Oryctolagus cuniculus: one gene and its partner. The protein of the gene in region 2 purifies or fractionates together with the protein of the main gene of each other region. This does not show direct contact. Links are inferred from orthologs where the notes say so. Each region holds a gene or a part of one and is shown on either strand. Other genes may lie near its edges. The genes, in order: RPL18A and NOP2.

Region 1 (3,532 bases), on a different chromosome or scaffold from region 2:
CCCGGGAAAACCCCCGCCCCGCCCCCCGAGCGCAGGGACCGCACCCGGACGCCCTAGCTCCGCTTGGCACGGAGCCACCCCTGAGGCCCAGAGGGTGAGCGGTCACCGACTTCCTGTTGTGTTCACGGCCCACGGGGGCTGCAGGAGCGCAGGCCATCGGGCCCACCGCCGGGGCAGAGCGAGACCCCGACTCCACGGGACGTGAGGGGGGAGGACCCCCAGCTACCCTCGGACTGGGTCGCCCCGCGCTCAGGGCGGGTGCGCAGGCGCTGCCCGGAGTCTGGTGCCCCCAGCGCCTCTCGGGCTTCGGTGCCCACCTCCTCCCCAGGACACTGCGGGGGCCCCAAGTTGCGTCCCAAGAGCCAGGCTGAGGCCTGGGCGAGTGGATGACGGCGCAGGTCCCATGGAGACCCGGATGGAGCTCCTGGCTCATCAGCCCCCCGCGGTCCGAGCCCCTCAGGCCCCAGGGGGCGGCACCCGCGATGTCCCCGACCCGCCCGGCTCGGCGCCTGGACTCCCCCCAGCCCCGCACGGCGCAGGCGCACACGGAGGCGGAGGCGGGCCAGGTTGCGGGCGTTTATTGGGGCGCGGGCCTAGAAGAAGGTGTTGGGCCTCTTGGCGGAGAAGCGCGGCTTGTGCTGGCGCCGCAGCACGCGGTGCGGGAGCGGGAAGCGGATGCGCGAGTCGTGGAACTGCTTCACGGCCGGCCGCCGGCAGCGCGCCGCCGCCATCTCCTCCACCTTCATCACCTGGATCGAGTGCGCGCGCGCGCGGTGCCGGGCGCCCATGTCGCGGTCTGCGGGGCGGGTGGGGCGGTGAGGGCGGGGCGGCCGGCACCGCAGGGACCACCCCCGCCCGCCCCGCCGCGCGTGTGCGGCCTCCGCATTCACTCCCGGGGGCACCCGCAGCCCCCCGGAGGCGACGAGGCCCCGCTGCTGTGCGCACCCCGCTTGGAGCCGCGGCCACGGCGCGCGGCGGCTCTGGGGTTCGGGTGCGCGCCCCCCTCCCCGCGCGCGCCCCCCTCCCCGCGCGCGCCCCCCGTCCCCGCTTACAGCACTGCGTGACGGCGCCGGCCGTGGTGAGGTCGCGGTACTCGCGGTACATGTTGTGCGTGCCGCTGCGGGAGTCGTAGCGCAGCCAGATGCCGAAGTTCTTCACGCGCAGCGGCGACTTCTCGAACACCTGCGGCCGGCCGGGCGGGTGAGGGTCCGGGCCGCCCCCCGCCGCCCCGCCCCGGACCCCCCGCTCCGCCCCGGCCGCCCCCGGAGCCCCCCGCGCCGCCCCGGCCCGTCCCCACCCCCGCCGCCCCCCGGCCACGCCGCCCGGCCCCCGGCGCACCTGCCCGCAGTACACGATCTCGCCCGACGACTTCTTCATCTTCTTCAGCTGCGACACGAAGTACCAGAAGCGCGACTTGGCCACCACATGGTTGGGCGCGAAGATGCGCATGCGGTAGAGCGGCGGCGCGGGGCTCTTGGGCGTGGGCAGGCAGCGGCCCACCACCTTGTACTCCCGCAGCTGCGGGGACGCGCGCGTCAGCCGGGGCCGGCGACCCCCGCGTCAATCCCCGGCCCGCCCCCAGCCCCGGGCAGGAGGTCGCCACATCGCGCGGCGCGGCGCCCCGCCCGGGCCCGCTCCCCACGCGGCACCCGCGACCACCCCAGCCCCCAGTCCCGGGCAGGAGGTCGCAACCCCGCGCGGCGCCCCGCCCGGCCCGCACCCGCTCCCCACGCGGCGCCCGCCGCCATGTTGGCCGCTCCCGAGCGCGGCCATCGGGGTCCCGGGCGGCGGCGCGCTCCAGCTGCGGGGCCCCGTCCGCTCCCCGCGCCCCCCACCAGGGCCCGCGCCGCGCCCCCCGCCCCGACGCCGCGCCGCGGCCGCCTTACTGTGCCCGAAGCCTTCATGGCGCTCCGTCCGCGATGGCCGCCACCCTCGAAAAGGAAGTCCTTTCCTTCGCGCAGCCGCTCTCCACGGGTTCGCCGGCGGAAGTCCCGCCGCCTCGCCGCGACGCGCCCATTGGTTCCTTGTCCTGGCGCTCACGGAGCCTTGTTTTGTCATTGGCTCCAGTTCCGCCTGCCACCCACTACCCCGCCTCTCTTCGCAGCCGGACTACACTTCCCAGGAGGTAGCGCGGCAATGCGCACGTATTCCGGCGCGGACGTAACGGAGCTTCCGATTTCCGAGCACGCCGGGAGTTGTAGGCAGCGGACGGCTTTGGTAGGGAGTGAATGAGCAGCTGGAGCAGTCTCTGTCTTCCACATAAATGTTTTTCCAGGGGTTAAGTTTTTATTAACCAAGCAAGCCACGCTTATTCTGAGTGGAAGCAGCTGCCCCGGTTTCCTTGCCCCTGCCTCGGCGGGCAGGGGTATCCACGGGGTGGGGAGGGTTGTCCCAGGGAGAGGCTGTCTGCTCGCGGGAGCTGGGGGCCTGCTCAGATCTGCCGGGGCGAATCTGGGGGCGGTCGCCGTCCCCCGGCCGTGAGGTGCATCAGGGCGGTGGCGGCGGCCCGGCTTAGGGGGGGGGCGCCACCTCTCCCAGGAGGCCCCCACCTCCGGGCTGTGCCCCCGGGACCTCAGCGGACGGCCACATGCACCCTTTCCCCGCGCACGGGGGTCCTCACCCTGACCGCAGGCCATGGCGTTGGGGGGGGGGTCCTAACCGTGACCACAGGGCATGGCCGCAGGGGAGCCGCCCCCCGCCCCCACGGGGCGCCCGGCTTCTCCTCGCCCAGGGCCCCCGTGGAGCGGAGGTGGGGGCGGAGAGACGCCGCCCCCGCAGACCAGGACCTCCCGCCCACCCGTGCACAGCCCGGGAGCAGCCGTGTCGGCCTGCCTCCAGCCCTCCCCCAGGCCTGGAGTCCCGGATCCGCCCGCGTCGCCCCACGCACCGGCTGCTCGGCCTCTCGCCTTCCAAATAAATTTTAAAAAATCCTCAAACGCCGAGCAGCTTGAGAATTGATTTCCACGTCATAGAAGGCCCGCCTTTAAATAATGCAATCCACGGTTTCTAAAAAATTTATTTATTTACTTACTTAAAGGCAGAGTTAGAGAGAGAGAGATTCCACCTGCTGGTCACGCCCCAAGAGCTCACAGCAGCCAGGCCTGGGCCAGGCCAAAGCCAGGAGCCAGGAGCTCCATCCGGGTCTCCCCCGTGGCAGCTGACCCCCCAGTGCTGGCTCCAGGCTTCCCGGAGCCCCGCAATCCTGTTGTGCGGGAATTGGCGGGCGGGTGTCGGCGGAGAGCCACGCCCCCGGAGCGTTACCGCGAGCGGCCGCCAGGTGGCAGCAGAGCCCGTTTCCCCCGGGCAGGGCCGGCACGGGGGCCTGGGTTGCACATCCCTAGAGGGTGCGAGAGGGGCCTGGGGGAGGGGCGGAGGGAGGGGGCGGCGAGACGGGGAAGGGCCGCGCGAGGGGCAATTGCTGGTTCACTCCCCAGGTGCTCACAACAGCCAGGGCCGGGGTCCCTGCCCCCCTGGGGAGGTGACCCGGATGGGGTTCCCAGGCCCTGGGCTGCAGGGTGTGCACCTGCCGCTG
Region 2 (4,453 bases):
GGCTTCTCCCCCGGGGGCCCGAGAGACCCTCGCCTTCCTCCTGCCCATCTTCCATGTTGTAAAGGAACAGCCCCCGTGCACTGGGGAGGGGAGGGAGTGCGGGGCAGTGGTGCCCTTCCTGCTGGAGATTCGGGCAGCAGCAGCAGTAGCGCCGGCGCCATCTGCAGGGAGCTGGCGGGCTGGCCTTCTGGACCCTGGCTTCCCCCACTGTAACGTCTGTTACACACAAACTGTTGTGGGTTCCTGCCGGGCTTGAAGAAAATGATCTGAATTTCTTCCTCCTTTTGGTTTTATTTTGCTGGTTTATTTTGTGTTTTCTCCTTTTTGGGGTATTCAAGAGTGGGCCGGGCCCCTGGGTGAGACACAGCTACCTCTGTTGGCATCTTTTTAATACCAGGAACCCAGCGGCTCCAGCCACTGTGCGGCTAGAGTGAAATAAAGTGGAAAAAAAAAAAAAGGAAAAAGAACCAAAAGCATAAAAAACCGCAACAAATTTCTTGATCAAAATTGAAAATAAAAGTTTCCTTGTATTTTAGTCCTCTGGTTCAGTGTGGGTGTAGGCGCAGCTGGGTGAAGGTGAAAGGCAGGAGCCCCCCTGAAACTCATCGGATATTTAAGGGCTGCTTCGAGCCATCCCCCCATCCCCTCCCAGAAGAGACCGGAGCCCCCAGCACCGTCCCGGGGTGCCTCCGGACGCGCAGTCCCCGGCACCGCCGCCTGGTGGCGCTGTGGCTGCGCCGAAGTCCACTTCGGGCTTCAGACTGCCGGTCGGGGCGCCTGATTCTGTCCCGGTTGCCCCTCTTCCAGGCCAGCTCTCTGCTGTGGCCCGGGAGTGCAGTGGAGGATGGCCCAAGTGCTTGGGCCCTGCACCCCATGGGAGACCAGGATAAGTACCTGGCTCCTGCCATCGGATCAGCGCGGTGCGCCGGCCGCAGCGCACTGGCCGCGGCGGCCATTGGAGGGTGAACCAACGGCAAAGGAAGACCTTTCTCTCTCTCTCACTGTCCACTCTGTCAAAAAAAAAAAAAAAAAAACCAGCCGCCTCGTAGGGCGGCGAGCAAAAACCGGCGAGGCGCTTGCGGGGAGCCGTTCCGAACGTTTGAGCAGCACCTCGGTGCTGGTTTGCAGTGGAACTCATGGGATGCCGGCGCACAGGCTGCAGCTTGACCCAATGAGCCATAATAGCAGCCCAGAGATTGAGCTGTGTGAGACGAGGATGCAAGATGCCTCCCTCGCCCTCCGGATGGGCACTGGGTCGGGTGGACTGACGGGGCGATCAGGGCTCGGGCCACCCAGGAAGCGGGTTTCCTAGCCACAGGCTTGGGAATGCGGGAGAGGCGGCAGGGAATTTCACTATCTGGAGGCGGGACCTGGGGCACCCGTTGTGCCGGAGTCGAGAGCATGGGACGGCATTCGCGCACCAGCGTTTCCGACTGAAGCTGGCCGCGAGGGACGGTCAGGCACGCCGAGAACAGTTGTACCTCCATCTCCGGCAGCCCTCAGCCGGCGGCGCGGCCGGGCCCGGAGGGACCGGAAGAGGCGGGGCCGCGGGCGGTGCTTCCCGTGCGCCTGCGCGGGCCGTTTCCGCGCACCGAGGCCTGCGAGGGTTCCCCGGGTGCACGTGGAGCGCCGTGCTCGCGCTGAGCCCGCTTTCGGGTGAGCGGAGGCTGCGGGTGGCCCTGGAGGGAGGCGGAAGGCAACAGGTGCCCGCCGACCGGGACCGGGACCGGGGCGTGGGGAGAGGAGCGCGGGCCCCGGCCCTCGGGACGCCAGGGCGGCTTAGCCGGCCTCGAGCGGGCTGCCGGGGGTACGTTTCCCAGCGGGATAGAAACCCGTATCCGCGTTGCAATATTCGCAGCGCCACCTCCTCCCCGTTTCTCTTCTTTCCAGCACCATGGGGCGCAAGTTGGACCCTACAAAGAAGGCGAAGCGCGGGCCGGGCCGAAAGGCCCGAAAGCAGAAGGGTGCGGAGACGGAGCTCCTCCGTTTCTTGCCTGCAGGTAAGGGCGTGGGCCCCCCAACCCCCAGTCTAGTCTGTTCGCCGTTCTGCGTGTTAACCGCTTCCCCGTTTTAGCGTCCGTGGATCCCTCTGTGTGTGAGTGACGGGGAGGTGAGTGCTAGCGAAAGGCTGTCGTGGGCGCGTGGAACGCGAGGGGACTCGGGTAGCCGAGCGAGGGGTTGTGACAGTTGTCGTGAATCTGGGTTTTGGAAAGCAGGTTACCTATTAGCAAGTGGAAGTTGGGGAAGGGGCGGGCCAGTCGGAGCTGCCCCGTGGGAGGGATGGAGCTGAGAAAGGAAGGTGGGGGGGGAGACTGCCTGGGGAGCGGGTGTCGGGCATTGGCTGAAAGATGCGATTTATTGACTTGTTAGCAAGTCCCAGGTGCTCTGCGCAACTCTGGGCTTCATCCTCCTAAGTCCTGGAAGAGAGGCACCGGGAAGGCGATGGATGTTGAGAGTTTTAAGTGACTCACCTGCAGTTATGAAATGACTGGGGTGATGTTTAAACCTTTTATTTCTTGGAGAATGCATGAAAAACAGCAGTAGTGAAGTGCATTGAACTTGGGAAAGAAAGGGCGGAAGAAAACTTGAGAATCCATGTGGTCAGACTGGTGATGAGGCTGTTCCTTGAAGCCTGCGGGGAGGCCCACTTTGGATTTAGTTGTTGAACAGTCTCCTTACATCTTTTTAAAGATATTTGAGAAGCAGAGAGAGATCTTGCTTCTGCCTACTGGTTTACCCCCCACCCCAAATTCTTGCAGTGGCTGCAGCTAAGGCCAAAGCTGGAAGCCAGGAACTTAATCAAGGTCTCCTACATGGGTGACAGAGACCTGCTGCCTTCTAGATGTGTCATTAGCAGGAAGCCTAGATGGGGGCAGAGCAAGGACTTGAACCCCGACTCTCCAGTGTGGGGTGCAAGCGTCTCAGCCTGCAGTGCAGCTGTGCCGGGCTCAGTCCCTAGTGAGGAGCTGTGGTGAGAGCTTCAGTCTCCGGGCTGTTATGGCTCAGTGGGTGATGCTGCTGCTTGCTGTACCGGCGCATCCCACTTCAAGACCCAACTGCTCCACTTCCGGTCCGGCTCCCTGCTAATGTGCCTAAGAAAGCAGTGGAAGGTGGCCCAAAGGCTTGGGCCCCTGTAACTCACCGGAGAAACCTGGATGGAGGTCCTAGCTCCTGGCTTTGGTCTGGGCCAGCCCTGGCCATTGTGGCCATTTGGGGAGTGAACCAGTGGATAGAAAATTGCGTGCACATTGTCTCTTTCTCTTAATCTCTGTAACTCCACCTTTCAAACAGTAAATTCTTTCTAAAAAAAAGTTAACAACCTCTTCGTTTTTAAGGGCTATACTAATTCTCTTCCCACTTTTATTTCTGCTCCCAATTCTCGTTTTCACTTCTCCTATAATCTCTTCTGCCTCTTCTTTTATTTCAGCTGATGACGAAAATTCCAAGAGACTATCCAGTCGTGCCCGAAAGAGGTAAGTGTGGGGTCCAGATTTGCCAAGATTGAATGGGTCCTGCTCGTCTTAAGCCTGGTGGGATGGGTCAATGGAGAGTGCTGACCGTGGACTCCTGCGTTTCCGCCTGGGGGATGTGGCAGAGCCCGGAGGTGTGTCCCTTCTACCTCACTGCTGTGTTTTTCCAGGGCAGCCAAGAGGAGGTTGAGCTCTGCTGAAACTCCCAAGACAAATAAGCCTCCTGGGGCCAAGTCCTTGCCCGGAAAGCTCCCCAAAGGTCAGTGAACACAGGAGGTGGGGGCTGGGTTCCAGGGAACTCACTGAGCATTTCCGAAGGGCAGCGAGTGCAGGCCCCAGGGGTGTGGGGCAGGCGGCTGAGTCTTAGGTTCTTTCAAACTCTCAGGGGTCTCTGCAGGAGCCGTGCAGACTCCTGCTAAGAAGGGAGCCCCCCCTTCATTTGACACTGCTCGGGGCAAGAAGCGGCCAGCTCCAGCCCACAGCAGCGATGAGGAAGAGGAGGAGGAAGAGTCTGAAGAGGATGGTGTGGAGAACCAGGGGGGCCTCTGGGACTCAGAGGACAGTGATGCTGATGTCATAGACGACTACGGGGCCGACTCCGGCTCCGAGGGAGAGGATGAAGATGAAGAGGTGAGAGTTGCCTCCCTGGGTGTTCGTAAAGGATCCTTGCCTTTCAGTTCCTTTGTAGACCCTTGTGGCTGCGTACGCCTGACTGAGGAAGGGGATTGTTCCATCTCTGTTTCCCTGCCGCTTTCCCTCCTCACTCAGTGCACTTGCAAATTTTTTCTTTTTTTTAAAGATTGATTTATTTGAAAGAGCATGGGGGAGTGTGATGGGGAGACAGAAAGATTGATCTTCTGTTTGCTGGTTCATTCCCCAAATGGCTGCAATAGCCAGGCCTGGTCCAGGCCAAAGCCAGGAGCCTGGGACTCTGTCTGGGTTTCCCATGTGGGTACAGAGGCCCAAGCCCTTGGGCCATCCTC

The links.
Region 1: the proteins of NOP2 (region 2) and RPL18A purify together in Homo sapiens (affinity purification with mass spectrometry; 3 studies listed by BioGRID and IntAct, counting the BioPlex papers as one, with this or other methods). This does not show direct contact. The link is inferred for Oryctolagus cuniculus from reciprocal best matches to the Homo sapiens genes NOP2 and RPL18A.

What each region holds. Positions count from the first base shown.
Region 1 is NC_091447.1:65,464,999-65,468,530, reverse strand, and holds RPL18A (large ribosomal subunit protein eL20), read right to left. Parts: upstream 2,107-3,532; 5' UTR 1,905-2,106; coding exon 1,887-1,904; intron 1,519-1,886; coding exon 1,339-1,518; intron 1,183-1,338; coding exon 1,053-1,182; intron 999-1,052; exon of another isoform or gene 868-998; intron 797-867; coding exon 594-796; 3' UTR 564-593; downstream 1-563.
Region 2 is NC_091440.1:102,934,529-102,938,981, forward strand, and holds the start of NOP2 (28S rRNA (cytosine(4447)-C(5))-methyltransferase), read left to right. Parts: upstream 1-1,510; 5' UTR 1,511-1,656; exon of another isoform or gene 1,657-1,807; intron 1,808-1,890; 5' UTR 1,891-1,894; coding exon 1,895-2,000; intron 2,001-3,427; coding exon 3,428-3,473; intron 3,474-3,640; coding exon 3,641-3,729; intron 3,730-3,855; coding exon 3,856-4,100; intron 4,101-4,453. UniProt on the Homo sapiens protein: S-adenosyl-L-methionine-dependent methyltransferase that specifically methylates the C(5) position of cytosine 4447 in 28S rRNA. Required for efficient rRNA processing and 60S ribosomal subunit biogenesis.